2 linked regions of the Caenorhabditis elegans genome follow. The protein of the gene in region 1 purifies or fractionates together with the protein of each later gene. This does not show direct contact. Each region holds a gene or a part of one and is shown in the gene's direction. Other genes may lie near its edges. The genes, in order: atad-3 and cri-3.

Region 1 (17,245 bases):
CGGCTAGGACGTGGCTTAAATTACAGCCCAGAGGGATCACCACCAGGCAGTGTACCTGAATCCCAGATCCGCAGTGCATAGCACTTGAAGAACGGATCGTCCTTTAATCCTTTAATCCTTTAAAACAAATTTTTTGGCACATATGACAATATTCGTATTTTTTGGTATTTTTTGTTTTGGTTCTTTTACAAATTTCAATTTTTTTCCTTTTTGGTTTGAAATAAAAACCAAAAATATTTTTAGCACATATGACAATATTCGTATAAAAAATAGAAACCAACCTGAATCTGCTCACGTCGTTTGACATCTCTCAACTGACGCCAACTCGCCCAGAATGTCATTCGTTTTCCGGTTTTCCACCATTCTCTCTCCACGTATCTATAGAAACGTATATTCAATACAAGTGTATAGTTTATGTGCAATTCTTTCTCACTTTGAGAATAAAAAAGCGGCAGGCAATAATTTCAAAAATATACAAAAAAAACCAAAAACCTACAATGGATACTGATCAAGTTTCAATTTTGTAAGCGCCTCGCTAGAATATGGTTGAGTGATTCGTTTCTCTTTCATAGGTTCTCCAGCATCTTCTACAGATGTTGCCGGTTCCGTGGATTCCGTAGTCTCTTCAGATGATGGTTTTGCAGGTTCAGGAGCTGGAGTTGATAAATATCTGGAAATTGTTGGACATTTAAATTAAGCCATAAGACGATAATTCCTGTTTTCTCAGCGCGAGAAAAGGATTGAGTTCGAATAACAAATTTTGAAATTTGAAAACCAAAAAAAAAGTTTTCCATTTAGTTTTTTTTTCGAATAAAAAAGCAAAAATTGAACTTTTCGTCAAAAATACGAGTAATTTCGCAGGCCTCAAACGTTTTTTTTTGTTGAGAATTTTCGAATATTTTAATAATAATTGCATTTTACTTCTAATTTCAAGTGTAAGTTTTCGGAAAAAAAAGGGAAATTCTAAAAATTAATTTTTTAAAAACGTTTCCATTTTGTGGCAGGTTCACTTTTTTCAACGAAAAATTTTCGCTTAAACAAATTTTATAAATTGAAAGTTTAAAATATTCTCGAGTGTAAAAAAAGCAAAACATCAAAATTTTTCGCCAAAAGCAGGATTTTCGCATAGTTTAAATAATAATTAGAGAAATCTATACTCACCTTCTACTCATCATCATTTCATTCTTGTAAAGAGCCGTCGATAGTAGGTCCGCTGCTCCGCGGAGTGCCCTCAACATCTGTGCACATACATTGCAATACATATTTAATACAATTATTCATGCATGGAAGGAACTGGTTGGAGGAAGTGTAACCTCTTTCATGATGAAAGAAATATGACATTAAAACGAATATTTTCATTGTTGAAAACAAAAAATTTTTACCGAAACAAAAAATGCGAAAAGACAGAAGAATTATAATACAAAAATAAACATAATCTGTCGGATAGAAAGAACAAAAGAAAGAAAGATTCCTGGGATGAAATGAATACCGGTGGATAATTATATGGAATGGATTTTTAAAAAAGTTATAGGCCGAGTTACACAAAAAAGAGAGAATCAACGTCCGGATTCGGAATACTGTAGTCCAATTTCCTGCTGTGTTTTCATGTATTCCTCGTCGGTCACAAATAAACTATGCTCTTGTCCCATGCTTTGTTCGAGAATGAGGTAGCTGTAAATAGTGTTATTTAGAATGCATTGGCATGTGTGCTGATTATAATTGCATAGCGTTTTAATAAAATTTATTCGCTTTGTATTGTATTGTTGTATATAGACTAGACTAGAAATCGAAAAAAAATAATACGATTTAAATTAATTATACTTCGATAATTTGAACATTGTAATAAAATCAATCTTAGTTGATTATTTTCAAAAATCGGGCACAACAAATTACATTTTTGAACTGAAACTTTGCTCTCAATAATTGAACTTACATCATCTCCATTAGATCTCCATTCTTGCGGACAGTTTTTGCTTCAATATAATCAAAGTGCAAATTGAGAGCCCATGTACATTGACCTCTTGCACGAGTGTAAGCCTGTAAGAAATTTAAATTTCACATACAACCTTTTTTCCTGAAAACTCACATCGTCCTTTAGAATCTTCTGTGACAATTTACTGGCAACTCTTATAACTTGTCTCCAGATAGCCGGATCACGTGTATTAGCTGCTTCTCGTTTCCAATTTTTATAGAGGATTTGATTTCCGGCGTCTCCAATCCGGTTGGCTGCATTCATCCAAGAGAACATAATAGTCAACGAGTTCATGAGAAGACGAGTTTCAAGTTCTGGATCAAATTGCTGATCTCGTTTCGCATTCAAAATACTATTTCTGCTGTCGGTGAATCCTTGAAGCTTCATCACTTGCAGACGACCGCTGGAATGCAGCTCGCCGAGCATCTTCGCATATTTCGAATCACATGGGAACGCTTGCGATGCTTGGAAGATCAACTTTTTGAAGTTTTCATTGTAGATGAAACGGTGTTTTTTGTGCGAAAAGAAGGTTATGAGAGTGTCCGTGATGAATTTCAAATCGATCTGATCACAGTATTTTTCATAAGTTCCACGATTGAAATCATTTTTCTTGGCTTCAAATTGCTCGAATTTGGTGATCGCGTTGGCAATGAGGCAGTCGACTGCACGCCTGCTGAATGCCATCTTGTCCACTGAAATTTAATAAAATAATCAATTAATTTTTACAAAGACTCAAAGACTATAAAACTCACAGAAAACAAATACCGCCACAACTTTCAAAGCTTCGCACAGTGCCTCAGCTCTTGGTAATTCTGGTATACTGTCGACCGATTCAAGATTGTCCTTCTCCTTGCAATGCTCCAGCAATTCGTTCAATCCTTGATCCAATGCCAATAAGAGAGCTTCATCACTTTCAAATTCCGAAGTGTGAATTCCAAGAATCTCTTTACAGAAAACATCTCGAGTCTCTTCTAAAGCATTTTGATTTAGAATAGAAAGTCTTCCACGTAGAACATTGGCATAAAGATGTAATTGAAGCGTTGGCAATGAAGAATCAGCGCTCTGAATGAGCTTTTCTGTTGATTTGGGGATAGCTATATCAATCATATCCCTAATCTTATCACGAATTGTTTGCACTCGTTCTTTGTCTTTCTTTAACAATATGACATCGAATTTAACATCATCTACGACGCCTTCCTCCATCTTGATCTCTTTATAATTCTTCCTTCTCTCGTCAGCTTCCACTACTTTTTCCTGTTCTTTCAGTGCACGCTCCCACCAAGACACAAACTTTTCCATGTAGACAATTCCTGTGATCTTACTCAGCATGGCACGCTTGAAAATGTCTGGATGTTTAGTGATGAATGTTCCAACCAAGTTTTTAAGATTCAGTTTAAAACTGTGGAAATTCAATTTCTTCTCCTGTTCCGAAGCTTCGGTGACGAGCATTGCCAGCAAGTACTTCACCATAGTCTTATCCAAGTATTCAGGATTGTTTTCGGTCAGTTTGAGTCGATTGTAAAGCATAAACTTCAGAATATTATTTCCAACTTCAAAGCACTTTTTCTCGGTATAAGTCGGAGTTTTGTAGAAGTTAACAGTAGAATCATTAGAAATCCAATCAGAAATGATTTGTTCGGTTGTTGTGAAGCAGTTCGTCTGGAAAAAAAAAGTATTTTTACAATTCCTCAAAATTAATTTCAAGCATAATATTAGTTGAAATTTGCTTACCGAATTTAAAAATTTGACGCCGAGCAACTCCAAAAAAGGTTGTACAAAATCGAAATTAGCACAATCGCCTGGTGCTTCATAATATCGAATTCTATCAAAAGGAATGATGTCCCAGAGTTCACATGTCTCTAAGTCGTCCACATGATCTTCATAAAGTTCACAATCTTTCAGTTTCGTCCGTTTCACGCGAGCATCGATGTTCATCATTTCTCGTTCAACTTCGATCCACGAAATCTGCACGTCCCGTTGAGCTTGAAGACACGTCGCTATTGTTTCCTCGGTGCGTGAAATAAGAATATCAAAATCATCATTTTCCAATTTCTGAATATCTTCATCAGATAATTCTTCCGATTGTTTAAGCATCTTCTCTGCACCAACAGCACCTTCGTCGCCGATTCGCGGAAGACCAGATTCCCAGAATTCCTCCAATCTGACTTCCCGTTCTTTTGAATTAGTGCTCGTCCGCTTTTCAACATCAGCGAGTCCAAAATTGTATTCAAAAGTGGCCTGAAATAAGTAAAATCTTGAAAAAAAAAGTGATTTAATACTCACAAAACCAAAGGTTTCTTAGTATTTCCTAAAATCTCACCTGTATGTTTGCCAGTACCACTGGCGTGTGTGCACAGGAAATCATCCACTTCAAATAACGAATATAAATCCATAAATGGAACATTCTAAGCAATGGTCTATCGTTAACAGCATTCAAATGTGAAAGAAGTGTTCCATTTGTCAATCCAGTCACTTGTCGGATACAATCTTCGAATGCATTCTTCAATTTTTTGTAATTGTACACATTGCTATCATATTGTATATAGTCCAAATACTTGATCCATACCATTGGTTCATGTGGAAATGTGATGGTAAGATTTTTGAAGTCATCAATAATAGTAGGAGAGTTGGGATCCATTTTGATGAGTAATTCAATTTTCATCAATCGAAGTTTTGCATTTCTACCGTCGGCTTTAATGGCTTTTTTCACCATTTCCTGGTGACGTTCGGCAAGAGCTGCTGGATTTGAACTGGAGAAACTTCCAACATTCCGACGACACATTTCTTCTTCCATTGAAATTACTTTGATTAGAGCATCAATGTTATGAACATTTTCGGAAAATGTTTTCTTCGCCTGTTCGAGCTCAAATGTGAACGCATCTTTTCGATTATCCGAATCGTTTGCTAGAACATCATCGTCAATGTGCTGAAATCTTGGTTTTCGGTTTCCGATATATTCAAAATAACTCACATCAAGATTTAATAAATCAACTCTGTCACGAATCTTCCAGTAACCGCCGACTGGAGGCACATATCGAAAGAATGTCTCTTTCGGAACATCCTTCAAGTATCTATCCAGCTGCTCCCAGAATGGGCGGTTTTCCTTGTCTCTGGCATATTCCGCTCCATAAATATTCTGAAAACTGGTTTTTTGAAAAGATTAAAAAATAAGTGCCAAAACATACGTTGAACAGAATATTGTTATGCTCCAAACCGACAATAAACTTGACACTCAATCGACACTTGGCAATTTCTTTCTTCGGAACTCCTTGCGTATAGTTTTCACAATCACTTTTAGTTTGAGTAACTGTAATTTTTTCTCGTTGGAACTTTTTAAATTAACAATAATTTGAAAATTGCGCAGTATTTGCCGGCTGGCGATAATATGAATATTTAATTTCTAAATATATTTTAACTTTGAATCGTAAATAAGCATTAACTTTATTGTGATATGATCACTTTTTTCGATGAAAAAACTTACTAAACGCAGATGAAATGTACGCATCGCACGTGCGATATTCTTCATCGGTGAGAAATGCATATTTTGCAGGTTTGTTCATTTTCATTAAAGTGTGAGATGACGTATCCCGAGCACGAGATGACCTATCCCGAGAACGAGATGAACTAGAGCTTCGGCTACTGGATCTTTTTCGTCTGCGTTCCTTCTTTCTTCTCTTCTTTTCACGACTCCTGCTGCGTTGCCTGCCATTATCCCGATCGTATCGGCGACTGTGAGATCTCGATGGACTCCTGCTGTTGCTTGCTGAACGTTTACGACTTGTGGATTGTTGACTTGTTTCTGGTGGATCTTGGCAACCATTTAAGCTTTTAACGGACGGAAATGTATTGTAAGCAGTTGCCTGAGCTGCTCGGGCCGCAATTTTCGCGTCTCTCCTGAAATTTTATATTATTTTCAAACTAGAAAAATTATTTACGCACAAGGCATTTTGCTTTTTCACCTCTGGGAGAGTGAAAACATCATCTGGATCAATGTACCTGTGGGGGCTCATTCTAATCTGAAAGCAAAAATAAGTTTAAAGTTTAAATGTCACTGGCCTCACCCGAACACCACCATTATCGTCATCACTATCAGATTCTCCAATTCCAACTTGCTGAAAAACAGAGTCATTCTGCACGGCGAGTTTCTGTTTTTCGTTTCTTTTTAGAGTGGTAGTCTGAAATAAATCGCATGAAAGATGAAAAAAAAAACTAAATATTTCTCACCGCTCGTTGTTGAACAGCAGCCCTTGTTTGCGTATAAAGATCTGGATTCTCACCAGAAATTCCTGGAAAAATGAATTTTGCATTTATAAAAATGAGATGAATTCGTAGAAAAAACTTACTTTCTGGATTTTTCAATCCATTATTTCCATACGCTCGAAACATTGTTCATTAAGTTTGGTATGATATTACCCTGAAAACAGCTTAATTCACAATTTGCATAATTGTTTTTTTAATGAAAGAAAGAAAGTTTTAAACAAAAAAAAAAAGGAAAAATGTGACTGTTCGAAAAGAAAAACAAAGGTGTGGGAGGCCCCACGAAAAGGGGAGCAGAACGAAAAGGGGATCTGCAAAAAGGGGAGATACGAAAAGGGGAGATACGAAAAGGGGAGCTGGCACTGTGCCAAACGCACAAAACGCAATTTTTCTCACGCAACGCACGTTGATTTTTGAAGTTTTCTTCTAGAAGATACGCTTAACAACACGCGACGCGTAACATCGGAGCCGATGCACCATGTTTCGGATCGGTATAGGTTCAAAAGTGGTAGAATTATATAATTTATTACTGATAAATCCGTTGAATGATAAAAATGAGAAAGCTCATATTTAACATGCGACCTGCCGGTCCGGGAGTAAAACGAAGAAGTGACGATTTCCTTGCGCGGTGTCGACGTGTTGGGGTTTGATGTGCATGTGTGGTAGTACTGTAACACTCGTGACGTGTGTGTCTTTTGGCGCGGCTTTCAAACAGGAGTTTCCCGGCTTTGTCGTTGTTGATGACTTCGGTGGATTGTCGTGAGCATTTAGAATACGGAAAGACTTCGTAATAATCATAATAATTCTTTAATATTTCCTTGACGCATTTCCTGGGTATTAATATCATTTCTCAGTCGTGATCGGCGGAACATCAGTATTCTGCGTATTCGCGACAATCGTTGTATCGTTTTCTTCGAGAAAAATAGCGTTTGGCACAGTGCCAGATCCCCTTTTCGTTGCTCCCCTTTTCGTATCTCCCCTTTCCGTATCTCCCCTTTTCGCAGATCCCCTTTTTGCAGATCCCCTTTTCGTTCTGCTCCCCTTTTCGTGGGGCCTCAGATGTGGCCTTTGAACGCTGGCGCACTTTACGATATCGAGAAATGCGTCAGAAAATGTCATTGGAGCATAATCTGCCTTAGCGATTTCTGTTTTTTTCCAACAATCTTAATTTAATTTTTTAAAGTTTATTTTTCAATGCAGAATGTGTTTCAAAAAATAGAAATTCGTGAATTATAACGACGGCAGGTCTTTTTTGACGGCAGGTCCTTTAAATTCAGGGAAAATGAGCCGGAAAATCTGTTTTGCATCATCTAATTTTACTGAAAAGGTTGCAACTCTGTTTTAATACTACGTTTTCTTCAAGGATTACACAAAGTCTCTCCGAATTTCATTCCTTTAAAGAAATTATTGTTTCATACTTTGGCATAAGTACATATATAAATCATTTCCTTTAATCAATATTCCTTAGAATATTTTTGCACCATCCCAAGCTTCAATCTATTCTTTCAGATGTCTTGGTTATTTGGTGTTCAAAAAAACGCTACTCCGCAGATTCCGGATGATTTTCAAGCAGGTGCTGCTCCTGGCGGTCCACAACAACCAGGTCAAGGCCAACGGCAAGAGGGAAACAGCAAAATGGCATATTCCTTCGACTCAACAGCTTTGGAGCGTGCCGCCAAGGCTGCTCGTGATCTAGAGAAATTTCCAAATGCCAAAGAAGCTCTTGAATTGTCGAGAATGCAAGAAGTTACACGCCAAAAAGAGGTCGAGAACGAGACCAAGAAGATCGAAGCTCAATTGGCCAATATGAAATCAGAGCACATTCGTGTTGCTGAAGAAGAACGGAGGAAGACTTTGGGAGAAGAGACTAAACATGCGCATTCGGTAATTTTTCCAAACATCTGAATACATAACAACTAAATAATTTCAGCGTGCTGAATATCAAGATCAATTGGCCAGAAAGAGAGCCGAAGAGGAGCTTGCCATGAAAGCTAGAATGCAGGAAGAAAGCCTCCGAAAACAAGAAGAGTCTGTCAAGAAGCAGGAACAACTTCGCAAGCAAACTATTGAGCATGAGTTAGCATTAAAACACAAATACGAGCTCGAGAAAATTGACGCAGAGACCAGAGCCAGGGCAAAGGCTGCTCGAGATAACAGAGATGTAAACTTAGAGCAAATGAAGCTTCACGAAGAAGAGAACCGAAAAACTGTCATTGAAAAAATTAAAACCAGTGGAGAACTTATCGGTTCTGGACTCAATCAATTTTTGAATGATAAAACGAAAATCGCTGCTGCAGTAGGAGGATTGACTGCTTTGGCTGTCGGCTGGTATACCGCTAAACGAGGAACTGGAGTCACCGCAAGATACATCGAATCTCGTCTCGGAAAACCAAGTCTTGTAAGAGAAACATCCAGAATCACTCCACTTGAAGTACTCAAACACCCAATTAAAAGTGTTCAAATGATGACTCGTCAGAAGAAGGATCCACTGAATGGAGTTGTATTACCACCTGCTTTGGAACGTCGTCTTCGTGATATTGCCATTACCACCTCAAACACAAAGAGAAATAATGGACTTTTCCGTAATGTAATGTTCTACGGACCACCAGGAACCGGAAAGACACTTTTCGCAAAGAGTTTGGCTCAACATTCCGGACTCGATTACGCAGTTCTCACTGGAGGAGATATTGCTCCACTTGGACGTGATGGAGTATCTGCAATTCATAAAGTATTCGACTGGGCTTCAAAAAGTCGCAAAGGGTTGATTGTTTTTATTGACGAAGCTGACGCTTTTTTGCAAAAGAGATCAAAGAATGGAATGTCTGAAGACACACGTGCAGCTCTCAACGCTTTCCTCTTCAGAACTGGAGAGCAGTCGAGAAAGTTCATGCTTGTCGTGGCTTCTAATCAGCCAGAGCAGTTCGATTGGGCAGTTAACGATCGGTAATCCTTTTTTTTAAATAAAAAACAGAATTTATTATTCTTTTCAGTTTCGATCAGCTTGTCGAATTCACACTGCCAGGAATGGAAGAACGTGAACGAATTCTTCTGCAATACTTCAACGAGCACATCGTCACTCCAGCAACTAGTGGATCTCGTTCTCAACGACTGAAACTCGATAACTTTGATTGGGTTGCTAAGTGTAATGAAGTTGCCAAAAAGACATCTGGAATGAGTGGAAGAGAATTGAGTAAACTTGTCATCGGATGGCAAGCTTCTGCATATGCATCTGAAACCGGAGTGCTCACCGAGGCTATCGTTGATCGTAATACTGCTGACGCAATGGTTCAACATGAACATAAGATGGAATGGCTTGAGAAGGAGCAATTGAAAGCTCGTAACCAAGAAGTCAAGTTCGGAACTACGTTGAAGAGAGAAACTGCTGTTTAATTTCAAAATATTCATTTCCTTGTTCATGATACTCTATTGTTTTCTATTTACGTTTTTTTGTTGTTTTTTCTTTTCTGAAATCTTCAAACTTCCGGTAATTTCGTAATTTCATTCTTAATCAGAAATTTTGCTGATAATATAATTTTTTTAGATAATTCAATTAGGCCCTTGTTTTTCTATTGTTTTTTTTCGTTTTCCCCTTATTTTCTAGGTCAGTCATTTTTATTTAGTTTTTGTGTAGTAATTTAAGTAGAGTGAAAGATTATTGTTTTTTTTTTGTTAATAAAGAAACTCTTCATTTTAATGTAATACTAACTAATAATCGCTTTTGTTGCACTTCAATTTTTCATATTTTGAAAGCTTCTGAAGAGAAAAAGCAAAAAAAATAATTTTCAGCCCAAATGTTCGATTAAAACGATCAAATGGATACTGAAACAAAAAACTTGCGGGAGGCCGGAGAGGTCTTTCTGTTTATGCACAGGTAAGAAGGAAAAAGCTGGCAATATATGGTTTTTTCAGAAAATAAGAAATCAATTGAAATTAAACGTTTATGAGCTTTTAGCCTAATATTTCCAGAAAAGCAACAATAAAAAGCTAGAAACCACAATTTTCAATATCAGAAATCCTGAAAAACAATAATTTCAGAATCTTCCGTGCATCCCGCAATCTTCGTGCACATTGGTACATTGATCATCTCGGAAAGGCCGTATCAATCGAAGAAGTTCCACAATGCTCATCATATAAACCATCAAAAGATCCAAAAGATGAGTACAGGCAAGAGATGACAGTCATCGGGATTGTACCAGCCGGAGGAGATGGTACAGAAGTCGTTGGAGACGAGCAATTCATTGTGACTGTCAGAACGAAATGCACATATATATCCAGATATTATCGAATTGTTTTTGTTCTTGATCTCAGTCCATCCGTTGTTATGGCGGTGAGTTGGTTTTGGCACGGCTGCGCTGCATTGTTCATCTGAAAATTCTACAAAATGAGCCTTGGTTTTTTGGTCCCAAAAACCAAAAAATCAATGTTTCGTCAAAATACCAAAAAAAAAAACAAATGAAAAACCTAACAAGTCCCAGCCCAGAGCAATTGTGCGAAATCACGTAATTTTTCAGGACGATGAATCCAACTGTTGCCTCGTTGATCGAATCATCCCAAGCCTTCGAAATGCTCTACGATCATCAGTAAAATCATTTGTCATACCCGGAACGAATCGAATTTTTCGTCCTCAAGTTCACACGTCCATCTGCTTGTTCACACCTTTTATGAAGTTTGAGGAGACTTTTGTACGTTCTTTTTTCCGCTTGCATCCGAATTCATAAATTATTTCAGACGTTATGCCAAGGAGTCTTCGTCACTGAATCAAATGTTGATATGGTAATTGAATCGGTTGAGATAAAGTTCGTCGACATCTACAAACGACTGTTCACCTTCTCCCGTCCGATTCTCGAAATGTGGGGAAAACTGAAACGTCGTCACAAGCACAATAAATTCGATTCACTTTGTGAGAGTGACTCGCAGAGTGAAGATTGCAGTCGAAAAGTACCATCAGCGGAAAATATTCACTTATCTGAATCTTCCGCAGCATCGACTTCACACAAAAATGATGGAGATGCAGACAGAGCAATGGATGGTGGGAATCTTATGTCAATACAACGTGGAATATGGTCTGCAACTGAACGTCATGAAGATCAGAAACAATTGTCATTTGCAAGTGATAAGAGTTATGTTGCACCGGATTGGTCGCTGATATTTATGCTTCGAATGGGTCTTTTACAGATTCAGATGCTCCCCGAAAATACTCAATCTAGTGAGTTATCAAGTCACAGGGCTGGGAACAAAAAAAATTAGATTTCCCAGAAATTGAAAAAAAAAAGTTTTTTCGATTTTCTGATATTCTGAAAAAAAAACAGATTTTACAGATAAGTGGAAAAACGAAAAAAAAATTCAATTTCACAAAAGAAAGGTTTTTAAAAAAATATTTTCGATTTTTCAAAAATTAGCTTCAAATTTTGGTTTTTTCTCAAATTATGAACAAAATTAGAATTAAAAAATCATATTTTATGATTCTTTTTTTTTTTTTGAATTACCGATATTCCGAAGAAAAATTGCGATTTTTCGAACAGCGGAAAAACTTTTTAAAAATTTCGATTTTACAAAAATTTGGACTTTTCTTTTGAAGATTTTCCAATTTTTGAAAATCGAGAAAAAAATCAAATCACAAAAATGGGTAAAAATATAGTTGTTTCGATTTTCCGATATTCCAAAGAAAAAAAAAGTGTCTTTCCATATTTAAAAAAATTGAACTTTAAAAAATTTGACTGAAAATTTATTCTAAAAATTGTAAAATTGAAAATTTGAGCTTTTTTTTCATTATACAACGAAAACTTAATTTCAGATCTGGTGATAATCTCTGATTCAGTCTGCGGTATGCCTGACGAAGAAGCTTTGCAAAATGTTCTCACCCAACTCCGCAGTTACACAGTTGCATTTTCGTTCATTCAATTACAAAAGAAAGCTTGTACAGAACCTGTATTCGGACATGTTGGATCATCATCTCTCTTTTATTTCATGACAATGGCAACATTTGGAACATATCTTCCACGTCAAATGCCACAACCACCAAAAGATCCATTAATTCTGAGTAGAACACAAGAGGGTCAATTAGTGATAAAACGAACTGTTGAACATGATGATATAATTGATGAGAGCAAAGAGAATATTAATCAATTTCATCGAGCATTAATTTGTTGGTCATTTCAAAATGGTTTGAATGACAATGATTATTTATTGGATACGTTTGCACAGATTAACAGCGATTTTTTGGAGCTCCAACAGAGTCATGTGGACCGACATCGAAGATTTGTTGCAGACTATCAGGCGACATTGAATCGTATGATGTATGTGAGATTGAGAGAAGGATTCACATTGAAATCTAGTAAGTTATTTATTTTTGTGAATATATTTATATTTCAAAACAGGGGTGAAAACTTCCGCAAATCGGCAAATTGTCGGAATTGAGATTTCCGGCAATTTGTGGTTTTGCACATCTTTTTGGAATGTTATTTCTCTTGAAAAAAAAATTTCCAAAAAGGCACAGGTTTAAGTGTATCCGTCTTATAAAAGAATCCCTCCAAAAACTTCCGCAAATTGATGGTCGGCAAATCGGCAATTTGCTGAAAATCCAAATTTCCGCCAAATCGGCAAACCGCCAATTTTCCAAAAATCAAAATTTCCGGCAAACCGTCAATTTGCCGAAAATCAAATTTAAAAAAAAACGTTTCAAAAAAATTAAAATTTATACTAAAATTTTCCATAATTTTAGCTGTATTCGTGAAGAACAATACCCAAGTAATCCTGACCCTCCGACTCGCTTTTCGACCACTTGTATTCATTGATTACATCATTACTTCGGCATGGCCAGTCAACAAGAATGTACATCAAGCAGTGAATGTGGAGTTGGTACTAGAAGGACCATATAATGAGTTGAAAGATCTTCTAACAGAAAGCAATTATCTCAATCCAATCCGAATGAATCTTATAAAATCTGTAATTGATGGAATCATCGACGCGGATCGTCTTCTTCTGCATATTCATTCATTTGATACAAAAATCGCATATTTCACTATACCACCCGGTGTCACCAAGGAGTATGCTTTATTTCAACAAGGAGATCGTTCACGACAAATTTTGCCGCAACTTTGTATAGTGTAAGTATTTTTGAAAATCGTTAATTTTCCGTTTTTTTCTATTAAAAAATGTATTTAACTTCTGAAAAACACCATAAAAATCATAATTTTCAGTTTTATTCCTGAAAAATACAAAACATCGAATTTTCAAAAACAAAAACCTGAAAACCTTTTTTTTCTGATTCTTAAAATAATACTTTTTTCTCTGAAAACACTTTTTTTTTTGAAAAATACCAAAAAATCTTAAAACATAACTTTTTATTATTTTTAACAACAAAAAGCCGAAAAACCGATTTTTTTAGAAATAAAACCGAACATTTTTCTCTGGTTTTTTATTTTCTGAAACTTTCTGAAAACCGGTTAAAAAATCGAAATGTAGTTTTTTTTTGTTGCAAAATACAAAAAAATTCAAAATTTCGAACAAAAATTAAGTCAAGATTTTTAGTTTTTTTTTGACAATACCGATTTTTTTTTCAATTTTCTTGGAAAAATTCCAGCAAAAAATTCCAGCATTACATTTTTAGAAAAATAAATTGAAAACAAAAATTCTAAATTCTTATAAATCTTCTAAAATTATCATGTTTTCAGCAAACCAGACGGTGTTAAAACTCGCGGATTCGTCAATTTTTGGAAGAAAATGCTCGAAGTTGACGATAGCAATTGGCAGAAATGGGTGCACACTCAAACGGAAAGAAGTCTGCTCAACCTGATCCACGTTCCATTTGAAATGTTTACAACCGAAAGAATTCTGAAATTTGACTGTCGTTATCCACTGAATGCTGTTCTTTATTCAATTAAAGTGCGTGCAACATTCTGTCTTGTTGAAAATCAAACATATGTTACACTGGTCTACGCTACACAAAATTCCAAAAAACCATCGTATTTCTTCATTCGAAAAGTGATTTGTAATGGTCCTGTGGCAATTATCAAGACAGCATTTCTCGGTGGAGTCACTTCAATAGAGAGAAGACGTGCTGTTGAAGCACAGAGACAACGATTGATAAATGTTACTTATGGAACTATTCTTGATGAGGCTGATTTAAAAAAAGAAGCGAGAAGATATCGATATGAAGCGAATGCTGCAAAGTTTTATATGGACCCAACCAAGATTTTTGACAAAAAGTCAGATCCAGCATGTACAGTGTTTCGGTGAGATTTTAGGATTAAAAAAGTTAATTTTTTAGCGATTTTTTTTTCGAAAAATTAAAATTTAAAAAAAAAACAAATTTTTTGTCGACAAATTCGGCAAATCAGCAAATTGCCAGAAATTTTCAATTCCGGCAATTTGCCGTTTTGCGGATTTGCTGGAAATGTTAATTTTCGGAAATTTTTCGATTGCTAATTTGCCGGAAATTTTTATTTTCGGCAAATTGTCGGTTTGCCGATTTGCCGGAAATTTGATTATCGACAAATTGCCGGTTTGCCGGAAATTTTGATTTTTGGCAAATTGCCGATTTACCGATTTGCCGGAAATTTCAATTCTTGCCATTTGCCGATAGGATGCGAACAATTTTGCTGATTAAAATTGAAATTTCCAAAAAAAATGTGCAAAACCACAATTTGCCGAAAATTTTCGCCAGTTGCCGTTTTTCTGGCAAATCGGAAATTTGCCGATTTTTTGCCGGAAAAAAATCGTCTGCCGCCCACCTGGTCCATATTCCGTCTTTAATAACTTAAATGTTTAATTCAAAAAATTTTCAGGCGTCCTCTGGAACGAATGGTTGTCCGTTACACTCACGTGCCCGCTGATCTCACAACAATCGTTCGAGCCGAAGAAAAAACCGATGATCCTGATGAAATTATGCTGTTAACACTTCATAATACACTTGCAAAAAGTCTGGCGTGTCGTCGTAGTGTCATTCTTCTCAACACCTTTCAACCAGGCGGTGCATTCATTGTTCGACTTCTCGCAGATTTCTGTCAAAATGTGCTCATGCACAAGAGAATGCATCAGGAGGGATTCCGACCGGCGTGGACTCAGAATAATGCTGTCTCGTTGCTCCGACAAATTTATGATTCATCCGGAGCATCACTGGAGCAGTTTATCATGTTTCCAGCGATTACGATTCAACCTAATATTATGAATAATCCGATTCTGAGAAGAAAATCAAAACATGAAATCGTCAAAAAGGATAAATTCGAAGATGATGATGATGAGATTTCCAAAAATGCGATACCATCGAGATCCGCTGTTGAGACTCTTGCAATTGTTTGTGAGATGTGGAATGAGCCTGAAGGAGGAAATCCAGATGATCAACTGGCGAATATGAGTGCGGTTAGTGACCTTTAGATGATAAAATTAGTGTATTAACTATCCGAACAATTCCTCTTTAGAATCTGAAAATTTAAAAATCGAAATTTTCAGGTTTTCCGAATGCTATAAAAGTTCTGGAAATACCAATTTTTTTTGCCCCAAAAAATTTCAATTATAATTTTTATTTGTTGGATTTTTTAACACCCAAAAGCAAAAAATTTACGTTTTTTTTTCTATAATTTTCCCAATAATTCAAAATTTGTGTACAAACAATTTTCAGGAACAACGACTCAACGAAGATCTTCGATTCATCTCAGTCCTCTTCACTCTCGACAAAATCCTCCGTCACAGTGGACAATGTAATGAAGTATTCCCGAGTGATGATAATTCCAAAGGTCTCTGTCAACCAGGAACTCCTGGAAGAATGTTTCCATATGAGGATAGCTGTAGATGTACTGATATCTATGAATTGACGGGTTTACCGAAGAAAACACCACCTTCCGATAATGACATGTTGACCTATAAAAAACTTCGCCCGAAGAGCAAACGAAGAACTGAGAAGCTCAAAAATGATGATGATCTGGAGAAGGAATGGGTACAGGAACAGAGAAGATGGATGGATGTTCCGAAGGAACCAACTCCTGGAATTTTTCCGATTCGATATATTCGAAAAAGGATAGAAGGTGATGACGAGGTTCTTGGTGAACTCGATGAGCCATATCCATATATTACTGAAGAAACAGTCAACACAACAATTTCTCCAGTGCCTACAGTAACCGATATTCACGCAGAAGCAGTTTCGAAGTTTGTGACAGTCTACGACAATTTGTTCAATATGACCAACTTAGTATATCATGCTCAAAGGAAATATCTACCACTTCCACATTTTGTTCTGGGACGAAATGATTCGGACATTCCACTTTGCAACAAACGTCAATTAAATGCACTTCATTGGCAACTCAGCAGGATTGCAGATCTTACATGGATTATTGATGACACGGAACATGATATTATTTGGGCAGATCTGGTGAAAACAGTGCCTGAGAAGGAAAGGCCTCCTCAAACAAAGCTAAGAGTCTACGTGAAAGCTTTAACTGCTCGAATGGCTGCGTTGATGTTTGCACCAGTCACTGATGCGTTTGATGTCAAATCTGAAATAATTCCAATGTTCCTTATGACTATTCATGAAACTCAAATTGCTCATTGTTACGCTCAAAATGCGTTCGATGGGAATGGAATCGTCAATGTTCCGATGTCAGATGTACCCGAGCGATGGGATTCTGGAGCAAGATTTGGATGGACTCCGAACAATCGAAATGTATTTCCAGAGGAAGCAACGACGTTTCCATCATTCTGCCGACATTTTGAAGAGGAGATTCTTCCACGTATTCGAATGAGAGCAATGTATGAAGCTGCACGTGAAGAAATTCCACTCAATGAAGAAAGTTTAATGGATATGTCCGGAGAGGTTGATTGTTTGGAATTCGAAATGTCGGAAATTCCAACTGCCTTGAGAAAAGTGTGTCAACATCTTGGAGGAGAACATCCACCACCGAAGGATACAATTTGCTGTGAAGGTTCCAATATTGCGTACATGTTCAGTAAAATGCTCTCAAAGAATTTCAAAAAAGTCGAAGGAACACAAAACATATTCTACCTGAATCCCGAATCTATGAT
Region 2 (15,995 bases), on another chromosome or scaffold:
GATATAAACTTTAAATGGCCATAACTCAGTCAGTTTTGGTCGTAACGACCCCATTTTTTTTCGGGCACACCCATTACCCGAAGGGTTGGCGCGGCTCCGCCGCGCTACATACCATCTGGTATTAAGACTTCTATATGCATCATCTTGTACATCCAAATCTTTCAAAACTTCTTCTCGATTAAACATCATTTTCCCTTTCACTTCCAGCCACCACAACTTATCAGAGTCAGATCTCAGCCACTGTTTGATGAACGCGTTCAAGTCCTGCTCGGTTAGATTATTCTCGATGAGCATCGCAGTCTGAACGTCCAGATTCAATAGATCTTCCGATGTTATCCAGTCGGCATGTTGCAAGTAGATGTGATCCATTGTAAGAACCTGAAAATTAGAAAAATTTAAATGCGGGAGAGCGTATTTGCATTTTATTTTTCAAAATCTTGAAAATGTCTATTATATCTCGTAAACCATGCCCACAAAATGGTACCTGCTCAAATCTCCGTGCACAAAGTTTAATATCAAATTCTCCATTGGTTTTTTGAACCATTTTGGGCTCCAAAACATCCGCTCCAATATGAATATTCTTGATTTCCAAGTTATCACAAATCCAATCAAAACTCTGTGCAAAGTTCAACGTATTCCTCTCAACTCCGTAGTTGGTTTGAAAAATCGATAGGCGTTCGACTTTTTTGAATGCCACAAAATTTTCACAGATGGCTCTCGAATCCTCAATCACTCCCAAATCAATCGATAAATACGTGATTATTGAATTGGAACATTTGAAGATGGATATCATATATCGAATCACAACTAGCATCGCATTTTCCAGATCGTAGTGTTCAGTGTAGAATGCGGTGCCCGAAGTTTTGCTGAAATTTTGAGAAATTTTATAACTTTGTCCAGAGTAGAGATATCAAGTTATTATCAACTGACAAATTAATAGTCTTGATGAGATCTGCATTTTGTCTTTTGATAACTATTTCGTAACTCCACTACAAACATAGTTAAAGCAACCGACACCTCACAGGAGATAATTGAAATTTAAGGCCTGTGAGATGTCGGCCGCTATAACTTTGTCCAGAGTGGAGATATCAGGTTACGTCAATTGACAAAATGCTAACCTTATTTCGGTGCGTATTTTGTTTATTGCCACCTTTTGTCGAACTCCACTCTTCATAGAGTTACAGTGGCCGATACCTCATGAGTTGACTAGGCAACTGAGGCCTGTGAGATGTCGGCCGCTATAACTTTGTCCAGAGTAGAGATATCAGGTTAGTATCAACTGACAAATTGATAGTCTTGATGAGATCTGCATTTTGTTTCTTGACAACTTTTGTCTAACTCCACTCCAAACAAGATTAAAGCAACCGACACCTCACAGGGGATTTTTGAAAATTGAGACCAGTGAGATGTCGGCTGCTATAACTTTGTCCAGAGTCGAGATTTCATAATAGTGTCAATTGACAAAATTATAACCTTATTTAGGTGTGCATTTTGACTCTCGACACATTTTGCCTAACTCCAGTCTGACCAGAGTTTGAGCGCCCGACACCTCATGGGTTGACAATTAGTACTCACCACTGAAATTTAAAATGCCCAATCTTATAAACCCCGACATCAGTGTATTCCAGACCATCAGGAATTCCAAAAACCCATTCCAGTTGACTACTCTCTCCAATCAATTTAATCTTCGGGTATTGAGAGTCAAAATTGACAAAAATTGATTTAACAGGAATACTCGCAATTCCAAGAGAACGTTTGATTTGATTAGAGGAAAATGATAACTGGAATCTGCAAATTTTCGGGGGGTTTTTCGGGTTTTTTTTTCTGAAAATTTCTTACATTTCTTTCAAGGTCAAGTGTTTATAGATCTCATTCAGGCAGACATATCCCAGATGGTGAAATGGGAACTCGTCTCCCATAGTATCTGAAATAAACATTTGGCTTGATCTCCAGGAATCGCAGGATTTTGGAAAAAATACATGACGTCACGTCATCGCAAATCTGCCGCGAGTTTTGTAGATCATACTTCATATGGAATATATGATTTTCCATTTTTCAAAAAATTTTGAAATCCCGGAAAAATAGTGACATAGACGTGAATAAAGAGATGGCGTGGCAATACTAGGAAATCGATTAAAACTGCACGTATTATATTTGTTTTTTTTCTCTTTTTCTCTTCAGCTCTCAGCATCTCTCTCTCTATCGCTATACGTATCACTATGGTAACAAAGAGGCTTTTCCTATTTTCTTTCTTGCTATTTTCTTAACTTTCGCTTAGCTTTTGGCTTTATAGTTTACAGAAAATCGATTTTTTTCAAATTTCTTGATTTTCTATGCAGAAATTGGTTTAGTAATTCGAAACCTCGTCCGATAAATGATTTATAAGTGAACGTATACTAGAAATTGTATATGTCCACGAGAAAGTGCGTTATTAAACGCGCGGGTCTTGCCACGATCGAAACTTTAGCAGCTACCGTACTCGCGCGTACGGTGGTTTTTAAATTTCATCGATTCACAACACTTTAGCAACGAAATGCCTGCGTCTTCTCTAGGCCACTTTTTTGCAATGTTTCCGCCGCCCGGTTAGCTCAGTCGGTAGAGCACCAGACTCTTAATCTGGTTGTCGCGGGTTCGAGCCCCGCATTGGGCTTATGTTTTTTATTTTTTTTAAATAAACACAACTCAACGTTTTATTCGTCCACCACCACTCCTTTACTCTAAACCCCAGCTGTCAGTTTCTACTGGAAGAGGGGTAACATGTACTTAGACTCCAACTACAAAACGTCCTGCGTCTCTCTTCTCTTTTGGTTCATTTTCTCAGCACTCTCTCATCCCAACACACCCTCTCGCACAACACGCCAGTCATTTAGAAACACGCTTTACATCAACTTCATGTACTTTTCACTTTACATCGAATTTTATGTTCTGAAAATTGATTAATTTAAACTTAAAAATTACCAGGATGGAAGCAGAGCCGTTGGAAACGGAGCAAGATGAATGGCGAAAAGAAAGAATGCGAGTTTTGGACGAGTGGTGTGAGGTACGTATTTTTAAAATTATTTTTCAAAAGTGTTTCACGTTTTTAATAGATTTTCTAAAGTTTAATTTTAATTTTTAAATTTTAAATACGAAAAATCATAGAAATTTTAATGTTTCGCTTAAAAATCGATATCAGCGAAAGCTTTTGAATATTTTTTGAGTTTTTGCGAAACAAATTTTTCCCAAAAAAATTCTAGAATTTTGTAAATAAACCAAGAAACAAATAAATCAATTTATCCTACTGTAACCTTAAAGGCGCATGCACTGAAAATGTGGATGGGTCTAACAGCGAAAAATTAATTTTTGACGAATATTGTGTATGCGCCTTTAAATTTACAGTAGGAAAATTAGAGATTAAATTTTTTGAAAGTTTAATTTCAAAAAACTAAAAAAAACTTTTAAACACTCGAATTTTCGTACTGTAAACTTAAAGGCGCATACACAGAAAATGTGGATGGGTATCACAGTGGAAAATGTATTTTATACAAACATTGTGTATGCGCCTTTAAATTTACTGTAGGAAAATTAGAAAATAAATTTTTAGAAGCCTGATGGCAGAAAAAAAGAAAAAAACTAGAATTTCCTTGAAATCTGGAGATTTTTTTGTGAAATTTAAATTTTCCAGATCGAGCTAAAAGGCGCAGACGCTCTCAAAATGGATGTAACCCGTGAGCCAGGCTCCCCCACAGTTGCCGTCGCCCCAGAAACTTCTCTTCAAGACCTCTACCCCCTTCTAATTGCCACGTCATCGTCCAACGCACCACCAAGTGCCACGCCCACCGATGACGTCACAGATCCAGAAGTACAAGTAGTTTCCCGGGAATCAATCGATAATCGATCAACATTCAATCGGATAATTGACGTTTGTCTGTGCAGGCCTGTAAAATCACAAATGGGCCCGAAAGCCTATACGGATAAAACGCTAATTTTAAAACTCGCTCAAATACCCTATGATCATGAAAACGGAACACACTGGCTTCTCCTCTCGGACTACTTTAACAATGTTTCAAGATCCCTGATGACGTCATCAGAATACTCTCACGTCACTAATCCGTCACGTGTTGGCGCGCATTGGGTTACTGTAGGCTTTCAGTCGGCGACACCGCACACGGATTTTCGAGGTTGCGGAGTTCTTGGCCTACTTCAAATGCACACTTTTACGCAGAGAGTACCGGCGAATTTACTTCGAGCAATTGTACTTCTTGCCACTACTGAACCGAATGTTAGTTTTTTATTGGGATTTTTGAAAAAAGTTGTAATAGAGCGCGCTTGCAATTTTGACAGTTTCAATTCGGAAAATTTGCAATTTTTATCAAAAATACGGTGTCCGGTCTCGAAACGACGAATTTGTGTTAAATGAGAAATGGTGTGCGCCTTTAAATAGTACTATAGTTTCAAACTTTTGTTTCAGCAGAATTTTCGCGAATTTTATGTGTTTTTATTGTTACATTTGAGTTTTTTCAATAAAGAATTTTTTATTATCGAAAAACTATTTAAAAAAACGATTAAAATTTTGCAGTAACGAAAGTTTGAAACTACAGTACTTTTTAAAGGCGGACACCCTTTCGTATTTAACAAAAAATTGTCGTGTCGAGACCAGATACCGTATTTTTGGCAAAAAAATGTTTCAATGCAATCGCGCTCCGTGCACTTTTTTAAAAAACCAATAGAAAATTTTCCAGGATTTCCCACTTGCCGTTGTTTCAATCAATATTACGAGTATTTTATTAACACAACTGAAGAAAGGAGCTCTTGATAAGTAAGTCTGCGCAAAGGGCGCTTGCTGACGCGTTTCTCGTGCCACTTGGTTTTTTTTGAAAAGAAAAAAAAACAGCACACAAGAAACATGGCATTTTCCTAAAAGTTTGAAAAAAAATTGTTTAAAAGATATTATACCAAAAATTCACAGAACTGGCAAAAACTTATTTTAATTTTTGTTTTCAGAAATTTTGAAAAAAAAACGTTTCTCCTAGAATTTTGGCAGAAAATTTTTTTTTTTCAACTAAAATTCGCATTTTTTCAAATTATTTTCCAAAAAAACACCAAAAAATTCAAATCTCGCGCCACTTGGCACATTTCTCAATAGAGCACATTTACAGCTTTGGCAACGAAATCGAAGGACTCTATCCATTCTTTTCTGCTCTCCATGCATCTGCAATGTGCCGATTTTGCTCAATTTATAAGTCACAAAAGTGTACACTTGCCAACACTCAAACTATTTTCAGTGGTTAGTAAACTTTTTTTTTTCGAAAATTGGGCAATTTTCTATGGCCAAAATCCCGGCAAATCGGCAAATTGCCGGTTTGCCGATTTGCCGGAAATTACAATCCTGAAAATGTTCAATTTTTTGCAGAAATAACCCGCCAACTCGAAAAATCTCCATTATCCCTGATAATGCTTCTAAATCCGACGAATGACGAGCTCATCAATACCCTCCTGTGATGATTGAAACTTCCCGAGAAACGAATCTGTGAAAAAATCCTTAAAGATTATAGCTTTAAATTACAATAAAAATCAACCGTTTTCGAGTTTATTTATGCACATGGTATTGGGGGAAGTGGAATACAACAATAAATAGATGGTGTGAAAAAAAGCATGAATGATAATAATTATTTGAGGCGAAAAAGAAAGCGTGTGTAAGCGAACTGAATCTTGAAAAACTCGAGAATTTTGTGTGAGTTTGCGAGCCAGTTTAAGCCTCATCCTTGTCCTTGGTTCCGTGTTTGAGCATACGAGTGAACTCCACGTAGTCGAATTGTCCGCCCTGAGAAAAAAAAAATTGAAAATTGGCTTATTTTTCAGGAAAAAATAAATATTTTAGGGTTTTAGGATTTAAAAAAAACTATTTTGCATTGGAAAATTTGGTAAAAATATGTGTTTTTTTTATAGAAAATTGTGTCGATTTACGCAGATCGTGTACTCCCCGTGGAGAAGTTTGCACTTTTTTCTGTTGAAAAAACAAGTAATTTCAACATCGATTTTTTTCCTTCAAAATCTACAATAAAAAGCGAAAATTATCGCAATTTTTTGCAAAATAAAGAAGCAAAAACTTCTTCACTAGGAGTACACGACCGGCGTAAATCGACACCAAATTTTCCGGCTGATAAATCGAAAATCTCTGAATTTTCCACGATTTTAAGAGGTCCAAAATCAAGCTTTTCGAGCCAGAAACTCCTGTTTCCCTTCTTTTTTTCGTTCCGAAGTTACAGCGATTATACCTTAATCGGAGCATCTCTAAAGAGCTCATCAACCTGTTCCTCGGAATATCTCTCGCCCATCGTGGTGAGCAACTCGCGAAGATGCTCCTCATTGAGTTTTCCCGAATTATCCTCATCGAAGCATTGGAACGCATTCCGTATGACTTCCTCCGGATCCGTTCCAGTCAATTTTTCACCGAAAAGTGTCAGGAACATTGTGAAATTGATCGGCTGTGCTCCGGGAGCCTCGTTAATCATCGAATCGATGAATTGTTCGGTGACTTCTTTTCCAAGGGAAGCGAACATATCCTTCAGATCCTCTTGATCGATGAATCCATCGCGGTTTTGGTCGATCATGTTGAATGCCTCCTGAAATTGAATTTATTTTAATTGTTCTTTAAAAATTCCGCTGAAACCAATGGATTTTTCGTCTTTTTAAATTTTTATTTTTTCGAAAAAAAAAACGAAAAATGAGGCTGTCACCTACTTTGAACTCTTGAATTTGAGCCTGATCGAACATGGCGAACACATTGGAAGTGGCTCTTTGTGGCCGTTGACGGCGGTTTACGGTTTTGCGGGAGGCCATGGCTTACTGCAAAAATTTGAAAATTTGCGATTTTTGAGGAAAAAATAAGGTCTCGACACGACAAATTTATGTTAAATACTAAAAGGTGAGCGCCTTTAAAGAGTACTGTAGTTTTACTAATTGGATTTTTTTTCTCGAAAAATCAATGAAAATTCGGGAATACAGTACTTTGAATTTAATGAAAATTTGTCGTGTCGAGACCTTTTTTTGATGCAAAAAACGTCTAGACTCCTCGAGGAAAAGAGGAAAAAAGTTTCCGTTGTTTTTTTGTGAGAATTTCAATTTTTGGCCGAAATTTTGATAATTTTTGCAAACTAATATTGTTTTTAGCATTGAAATCGCTAATTTATCGTTTATTAGCAGTATTTTTGAAACGAAAATTGATATTCTCTCAAAAAACGATGAAATATGAAGATGGTAGAAACCAAAAAAATGTGAAAAAAAACTGAAAAGATGCGGGGCGTGGAAAATATTATTTGATAACGAAAAAGCGGTGAGTCACCGCCGCAAAAAATGTTTTGTTTCAGTTTTTTTGTTTCCTATTACGATTGGAAGCGAGGTTTTCGAAGGAAATATTGATTCTCAGCGTTTGTCGCCTTGGAAAGGGGATTTGAACCGAAATATGACACATTTTTGAGGGAAATGACCGAGAAACGGAGAAAAGATTAGAATCTAATAGGCGGAGGGCATATTTAGGATGTCAAATGAGGAAAAACGGAGCGTAAATTATTTAAAATTTGCACTTTTTCGTTTTTCGGCAAAAAAAACAAGGAAAATCAGTTTAAAAGTTCCGGAATTTTTTTGCAAAACTTGGAAAAATCATCAATTATTTTCAATTAATGTTAATGTCAGGGGTGGGCGGCAAATTGGCGGAATTGAAATTTCCGGCAAATCAGCAAATTGCCTATATGGAAATTTCCCGCAAATCGGCAAATTGGCGGAATTGAAATTTCCGGCAAATCAGCAAATTGCCGGAGTTCAAAATTTCCGGAAAATCGGCAAATTGCCGGTATTAAAATTTCTGGCAAATCGGCGAACTGCCGGAAAAACGACAGGTGCCGAAAATTTTCGGCAAAATGTGGTTTTGCACCTTTTTTTGGAAATTTCAGAATTTCAATTTAAATCGGCAAAATTGTACGCACCCTATGAATGTTCCTACGTCTATTTTGAAAAATAAGCAACTTCTATGAAAATTTCTTTAAAAAGCGGGATATAAATTCCAAAAAGGCAGTTTTAAGTGGTTCCGTCTTATAAAAAGTGCCTCTACACATTTCCGGCAAATCGGCAAACCGGCAATTTGGCGATTTGCCGAACAGCACTTGCCGCCCACCCAATTCCCGGTATAAAAATGTAGATTGTTTAATATTTTCCCCCGGCCAAAATTCACATTAAATGCGACGAAATGCAATTTTTTTTTCCTCAAAACTGTAGCAGAAAATGGAGAATTCTCTCCGGAAAGCAGAAAAAACGTTATGAAGTGATTCACATGACTGGCAAACATAACATAAACGGAAAAGAGCGGAAAAACAATCGATATTCTTCGGAACGACGGGAGAAGCAGTGAAGAGAGTGAAGAGACGGAGAGAAGACAGTTCCCATTCGTTGTGTATTTATACGGAGACAGTTCCTTTCGAATGTGTGTGAAAGGACATTGGAATGAGGAGGTATATATGATGACTTGCCGATAAACAAGATATTCCGACGGAATACGGAATACGATTTAATTTCTGGGAGGTTTTGGGAACGGAATTTGGGGTCTAAACACTATGAAATACCGAAAAAATGGTTTTTTAAATTTGAAAGTACGCCAGTTTTTGCCCTAAATGACAGAAAAAATCCTCACTATACAGGACATTACTGCTGAAAAATTAATAAAGATTTCCTGAATTTTGTTTGATTTTTTAATTTTTCCAACAAAAAACCGAATAATTTTTGAATTCCCGCGCAAATAAATGTTTTCTAGATCGGTTTTTCTAGATTTTTCATTATTATTTGATTTAAAACATGATTTTTCGAATTTTAAAGAGTTTTTCCGTTTAAAAAACGCTATGACCTCGAAATAAATACACTGAAGCTTCAAAAATTCCGAAAAATGCCAGAAAACAAGTTTTCTAGACGAAAAAACTTCTGAAAAACTGAAAATTAATGAAAAATCGAGAAAAACCAACGATTTTAGCCAGAAACACGAAATTCGAAAATTCAAAAGTATAAAAATATTCCTTAAAATCGATAATCTCCTAGTTTAATCAATAATCTTCAAAAAATTCTAAACATAAATTTCGCAATGCTGCTTTTTCAAATGACTCATGACTCATCGCGCCAGCTGCGCAGCTCTATTCCATGTTTTTACAACAAAAAATCGATTTTTCTGGCAATTTTCAGTTTTATTATATAATTTTAAGCCCAATAGTCAATAATTTCAAAGAAAACGCACTTTAAAATCATTTTAAACAAGAAAAAATCGATTTAAAATGAGAAAATATGGCTGAAAAACGTTTGAACACAATTCCAAAGCGCGCCAAGTTAAAGGCGCATGCCATTTTGCGGCGAAGATATCTTGCCACGAAAGGCTCTATTTGAATTATTTTCGTCGGCTTTTCGCATATTCTCTCGCTTTTTCTTCGGTTCTGCACGCTTCCACTGATTTTTTCGAGGTTTTTCATTGAAATTATTGATTTTTGACAACTAAATTAGCCTAAAATCAATTAGAAACGCTTTATAACCTGATAATCTTGATTTTTAGCTCGATAAAAACTTGCATCATTTTTGGAAAATGTAATTTTCTATTTTTTTCTTCTTTCAGGTAAAATGAACACTGCTTCCCTTGTTCGCTCCCTGTCCCGAGTGGCTCTCCGTTCATCCCAGGTCGTCAGAATGGCCGCTCCACGCCATTTCTCACAATCGGCCAAGGTTCTGTCAGTAACGCCAGAACTTCAACAGGCCCTGAACCGTGAGATCGAAGCCGAGCAACAGCTGAGCAGCGACAATCTTCAAGGAGCCGTTGCGCCGACATTTGCTGGCTTCCAAGTCACCAATAAGGACGCCGAAGTTAGGCTGACCAAGAAGAATGGAAGCGAAGAGTTCGTTTTTTTCAGAATTTTTCATAGTTCTAAAGTTAATTTTTTTAAAGCATTCTCGTCGTCTTCAATGTGAACCACTCTGTCGATATGGACGAAGGATTCGACGATGAGCCATCCCAGGCCGTCGCTCCAGTTCCAGTAGCCATGCCACCATTCACCGTCGAGATTACCAAGGGAGATCAGAGACTTTGCTTCCATCTCGAGCTTGTGCCAGTTGACGATCAACCTGATGAGTGTAATACTCGATTTTATCGAAAACTCGAATAAAATATATACTATTTATAGATGATTTCCGCGTCGAAGAGTTCTACGTCGCCCCATCTGCCAAGAATGGAAACGAGGACGTACCATCCGAGGTGTACGCTAGCAGTGGAAAATATATCGATCCAGTTAGTAGTCCCAAGAGGACCGCAAATTATTGATTTTTTCTAATTCCAGGACCTCCACGATCTCCTGTTCGTTCGTTATTTGGAAGAACGCGGTCTCGATGCTCGGTTCTGCAAGACTCTCGTCGCCTATGCCACTCACTACGAGCACTCTCAATACGTTGGACTTCTCGACAAGATCAAGAAGTTCATCTCCAAATAGATTGCTTTCTGAAATTTTTTCAATTGTTTTGTTTTTTCTGTCTTTTATAACTTTACTGTTGACGTTTTTAGGTAATCTAAATAAGTAGCACATTTTCTTTCAGCTCGTTTATTTTCCTTAGTTTTTTGTTCTGTTTTGAGGTTTCTCTCCTCCAAAAATAATAAACCCATTGTTTTTTTCTTCTTTTGTAGTTTTCCGCATCCCAAATTTTTTGTAAATTAACTATGTCTTTGCTTTATCTAATTCCGCGTTTTTTCCTGAAAATTAAAAAATCAATAAAGCCTCATTTTCAGATTCCAAAGAAATGAGCGAGGAGAATGTTCAAGAGTTCGTTTTGAAAGAGGACTGTGAGCTGAGATTTGCCGCCGGAGACGATTCGGATGTCTGTCTGGAGCTCGTCAAGGGATACGCTGAAATTTTTGGCACAGAACTGCTGTTAAATAAGAAATATACATTTCCAGCCAGTAAGTTTTCCTCGAAATCTGGATTTTTTTTCAACTTTTCAAAAACTCCCGTTTTCTGGCTATATTTATTGCTCTTTCTCCGTTTTTTTTCTGTAATATTTCGCTTGAAACACTGTTTTCCTAATGTTTCCGCAGAAAAAGCACAAATTTCTGTGAAATTATCGACTTTTAGGTCAATTTCCAAGTTTTAGCGTGTTTCTTTGCGGTTAAAGTAGAGAAATTCGCTGAAACTTCATCTTGAAACTTGGCCTAAAAATCGATAATTTCAGATGTAATCATTTGTTTTATGCGGAAAAGTCTGGAAAACAGTGTTTTAAATCAAATATCACAGAAAAAAATTGAGAAACACCAATGGATTTGGCCATAAAAGTCAATTTCGGCCCATTTTCTGCCATTTAAAACCCAATTTTTCCTCAGAATCTCGTGTGGCGGCGTTCACGTGGAAAGGCGCCACAATTGAGCTCGTCGGCACAACCGAGAGCGCATACGTTGCCGAGAGCACTCCGATGGTCATTTATCTGAATATTCACGCAGCTATGGAAGAAGTTCGGAAGAAGAGAGAGGAACAGGCGGCTGGAAACTCGAATAAGGCAAAAGGACCGAGATTGCTGTTGGGTGAGCTGATTCTAGGCTTTTTTTGGAGATTTTTCGTCGAAAAACTGAAAATTTCTGTGGTTTCTGCAGGAAAATCGAGTAAAAATCATTTGAAATACTGGAAAAATCAATATTTTCAAGGGGCGGGGGCTATTTGCAAGCCTGGCACGGTTGTTTTGCAACCGTGCCGCACGGCCCGCCCACCTTTTTATTTTATTTTTTTTCGGAATTTAAGTAATTTATTTTTATGTTTGGCTTCGAAAAATGTAGAAAAAACCTTGTTTTCCGGTTTTTTACTGATTTTTAACCCAAAAAATAATTAATTTTCCAGTTGGACCAACGGACGTCGGAAAAACCACAGTCTCCCGTATTCTGTGCAACTATTCGGTTCGCCAAGGACGTACCCCGATATTTGTGGAGCTCGATGTCGGTCAGAACAGCGTTTCGGTGCCCGGAACAGTTGCAGCTGTTCTTGTACAAAAAACAGCCGACGTCATTGATGGATTCGAGAGAAATCAGCCGATTGTCTTTAATGTAGGCTTTAAATTTATCAAATAATTCACAATTTTTCCCAATTTTTTCCAGTTTGGGCACACTTCTCCGTCGGCAAATCTATCTCTCTACGAAGCATTGTTCAAAGAGATGGCAACTACACTAAATGCACAAATTCAGGAGAATGATGAAGCCAAAATCGGCGGAATGATCATTAACACCTGTGGATGGGTTGATGGGGAAGGGTTTGTCGTTTTTTTCGCTGAAAATCTGTTTAAAATAGCTCAATTTCAGATACAAATGCATTGTAAAAGCGGCATCGGCATTTGAAGTCGACGTGGTTATTGTGCTCGATCACGAGAGGCTCTACAGTGATTTGAGTAAAGAATTGCCGGAATTCGTCAGAGTATGTCGCGAAAATCCTTGTTTTTTGTTTGAAAGTTAATCATTCATTTACAGCTCACACATGTTCCAAAATCCGGTGGAGTTGAACAACGAACCGGGCAAATTCGTTCGAAAATGCGCGGAGAAAACGTTCATCGGGTAGGTTTTGTCCTCAAAATTCGAAAAATAAAGTTTTTCCAAAAAAATCTTTGATTTGCACTAGAGACATCGACAAAAATCAGCTTTTCAGAGCTGAAATATTCGAAAAATGAATATAAATTGAAGGGGCGGAGCTTATTTGCAAGCCTGGAACGGTTTTTCCGCAGCCCTGCCGCACGTGCTAAAAGGCTCCGCTCTATGAAATTTTTTGCAGTTTTTGAGTGATTTTGACAAGTTTTCTGTATTTTTTGTCTATTTTCTATTGGAAAACATTTGATTTAATCGGAAAAATATATATATTTGAATTTTTGAGCTGAAAAATTAATTTTCTTCACGAAAATATTGTCCCTGGGCCTTTCAGGCATTTTTTTTCTAAAAATAAAACATTTCCAAAGAATTCTGTATTTTATGGTCTAGAAATTCGAGTAAAACTGGCTTTAGAGCTTAAATATTCGAAAAATTATTATTTGAGGGGGCGGGACTTATTTGTCTGACACGGTTTTTCCGCAACCCTACCGCACTTGCGGGTTTTTTCTTTTTTTTGGTTTTTCAGTGTTTTAAAGCCTAACTTGTTAAGAAAAAACTTTTTTTTTGCAGTATTTCTACGGAACCCGTGCCAACAATCTCTACCCATTCACATTTGACGTCAGCTTCGATGACGTCACTCTTTGTAAAATCGGAGCCGAGCAACTGCCCGATTCATGTCTACCATTCGGAATGGAAGTTGAAAATCATGAGACAAAGCTGGTTATCATGGAGCCCAGTGCCGACATTAAACATCATTTGTTCGCGTTCTCGCGGAGCACGAAAGCCGACGAAAATGTGCTGAAATCGCCGGTTTTTGGATTTTGTCTTGTCACGGAGGTTGGTATTTCGTCGAGTTTTTGGGTCTCGAACGGAAATTTCAATTTTATCCAAATTTCAGGTTGATTTGGAGAAGCGAACAATGTCAATTCTCTGCCCACAGCGTACAATTCCATCGAAAGTTCTCGTCTTCTCAGATATCACCCATCTTGATGATCAAATAAAACGATAATTTATTTCTTTTTTTTCCTAATCCCTATTTATTTGTTTCCCGCCCTCAAAATAAATCTCATTCTTCAATGCATTCACAATTTATTGGATTGTCACCAGTGGGGAAAAATCGATGCCGGGACAATGTGAACAATATAGTTAAGTTTTAAAGACAAAAATTATGAATGATAGTGTGTGGGGGGTACTTATGAGAACAATGGGATTTTGAGAGAGATGGGGGGGAAATAAGGAAATTATTTTTTTAAAAACCTTACCAGACAAATATAAACTACACTTAAAGGACTATAGATGACAGCAGATGGGGATGAATAAAACTAGGTTCATAAATAAAATTGGTGGTGGGGAATACTAACACAGAGTGCTGGGTGGGGAGGAATAACAATAATAAAATAATTTAAATAATCAGCAGAGGATTACATCTTCGATTGAGCATCCTGAACAGCCGTCTTGAATGCTCCGGCGGTCGCCTCGTCCTTGAATTTGGCGGTGAAGATGGCTGGATCAGCGTTGGAGGCGTCTTCTGAGAAGTCCTGAAAAATAAGGAATTTATAGTACATTTTTATATAAAAAGAAATTAAAAATTGCTACCTGGCACATAAATGTGAGCACATTTGGCAAGTTTGGCTTCGGACTGAGCTTCATCGACTTTTCGATACGGAAATTGGCACAGAGCTTATGGACTTGCTCACGACGCATCACGATTCGATATTTGTTGTCATTGCTTTTCAGGAGCTGAAATAATAAATTATTTTTCTCAAATTTAGCCTCTATGAGTCAAAAATCAGTTGTTTTCTTAATAGTTTTCATTAAAATTTAGTGAAAAAACATAGAAAATACTTGCAAAACAGTTGAAAAGTGCGCAAAACTAGCACTTTTCTTAACTGTTTCAACTGAAATAAGTTATTTTCTACGTTTTATCACTAAATTTTAATGAAAACTATCAAAAGAACATGCCAAGCTGGCTCATTTTGATATAAAATCCTAAATCTGACCTTAATATCTCCGAGTCCACGTTCCTTATTCTCCTTGAGATCCGAATAGTACTTATAAAGCTTGCATCTGGCGGAGAACATGACCTCCTCGTCCTCTTCACCAGTTTTCACCTCAACCAAATCCGGAAGAGGAATAACTGGCTTAAACTCGACTTCTGGCTCATACTCCCCATCTCCATCCTCATTCGTCTCATCACCATCGTGTGAAGTTGCAGAAGTCGTGTTCAACGTGGTGTTCTTGCTCCCGAAAATGCTTGCCTTCTTCTGAGCAGCAAGTTCTTCTTGGGCCTTCTTGACATTTGCTGCGTCGAAAATGGAGCCAGATTTGGCAGAGTTGGCTGAAAGGGCAGCGAATGTTGCACCTCCAGACGTGAATCCACTACCGAACACGGATTTTGGCGTCTCGGACTGTTTATTTTCTTCTTGTTTAGCTGGTGCAGTCGTTGATGGAGTCTGTTGCTTTCCGAATGAGAAAGTTGGCTTTGGGAAGGCACTTTCAGAATTCTTGGCGAACATAAACGACGGAGTAGTAGTTGAAGAAGCTGTAGATTCAGTCTTGGAGAGTCCACCTCCGAACAATGAATTTCCTGGAGTCGTAGAGGTTGCCGGAGAAGCAGTTGAAGCTGCAGGATTGTTGAAATTGAACGATGGGGTAGTTGCATTGACAGCGGCAGCTGGCTTGTTGAATGAGAAAGTTGGAGTATTAGCAGCACCTCCACCGAAAACGCTTGTTCCCTTTGGTGTTCCACCACCGAAAATGCTACTGCTAGTGCTTGGAGATCCGCTGAGTGATCCACCGAACTGAGATGTTTGAGCAAGAGGTTCCTTGGCTGGAGCAGATGCTCCGAATCCGAATGTCACTTTTGGAGTTCCTGGGGCAGGCTGGAGGATCGAAGGTCTGCAAATTTAAATTTTTAATTTTAAGATAACTCAAATAGAATATTTACTTAGAGAATATATTTTTCTCTTTGACAGATCCGTCTTTCGATGTCCCACAACAGGCACATTCAATCTCGTCAGCTTTGCAAGTAACATAGCATCCAGGGCATTCCCAAGATCCTGGTTTTGGCTTGAACTGATCTCCAAATCCAGTCTCTTCCGGTTTGTTGTTTGATGGAATCACAACTTCTTGCTTGACTTCCTTCTTCACCTCAGCCGCCGGCTTGATTTCCTTGTCGATGGTCTTTCCAGCGTTGCTCGATGATTTTGCCTCAGCGACAGCCTTCTCGAACAAAGTCTTAAACTCTCCAGCGATATCGACGTTAGCGAAACGAGCGGAAAGCTTCACGTGAGCTGGCTGATCTTCGGAAAAGTCCTCGCAGAACCATGTGTAGGCCTTCTCGTTGGATTTCATTTGTTGAATGGTCATCGAGCCGAGAATTGGG

Evidence for each region.
Region 2: the proteins of atad-3 (region 1) and cri-3 fractionate together in Caenorhabditis elegans (co-fractionation; one large-scale study listed by BioGRID). This does not show direct contact.

What each region holds. Positions count from the first base shown.
Region 1 is NC_003280.10:10,241,253-10,258,497, forward strand, and holds atad-3 (ATPase family AAA domain-containing protein 3), read left to right. Parts: upstream 1-7,738; coding exon 7,739-8,113; intron 8,114-8,159; coding exon 8,160-9,172; intron 9,173-9,219; coding exon 9,220-9,619; 3' UTR 9,620-9,912; downstream 9,913-17,245. Other genes in the region: mrps-14 (Small ribosomal subunit protein uS14m), read right to left, coding at 282-378, 497-670, 1,162-1,238; nrde-2 (Nuclear exosome regulator NRDE2), read right to left, coding at 1,557-1,671, 1,934-2,037, 2,087-2,664, 2,725-3,631, 3,704-4,210, 4,293-4,898, 4,944-5,108, 5,158-5,279 and 5 more; F54B3.1 (Protein SZT2), read left to right, coding at 10,042-10,100, 10,265-10,556, 10,741-10,911, 10,958-11,435, 12,024-12,563, 12,951-13,335, 13,903-14,463, 15,016-15,589 and 1 more. UniProt on the Caenorhabditis elegans protein: Essential for mitochondrial network organization, mitochondrial metabolism and cell growth at organism and cellular level. Important during development for the up-regulation of mitochondrial activity during the transition to higher larval stages.
Region 2 is NC_003281.10:3,386,960-3,402,954, forward strand, and holds cri-3 (Conserved regulator of innate immunity protein 3), read left to right. Parts: upstream 1-9,625; 5' UTR 9,626-9,630; coding exon 9,631-9,902; intron 9,903-9,952; coding exon 9,953-10,137; intron 10,138-10,187; coding exon 10,188-10,291; intron 10,292-10,340; coding exon 10,341-10,490; 3' UTR 10,491-10,668; downstream 10,669-15,995. Other genes in the region: E3 ubiquitin-protein ligase hecw-1, read right to left, coding at 1-378, 485-866, 1,576-1,788, 1,840-1,919; elmd-1 (ELMO domain-containing protein C56G7.3), read left to right, coding at 2,963-3,040, 3,665-4,261, 4,722-4,798, 5,139-5,266, 5,393-5,481; mlc-4 (Myosin regulatory light chain), read right to left, coding at 5,732-5,803, 6,258-6,605, 6,724-6,822; Protein clpf-1, read left to right, coding at 10,795-10,954, 11,372-11,569, 11,880-12,082, 12,134-12,285, 12,335-12,446, 12,500-12,583, 13,181-13,447, 13,509-13,619; npp-9 (Nuclear Pore complex Protein), read right to left, coding at 14,032-14,148, 14,207-14,350, 14,611-15,508, 15,558-15,995.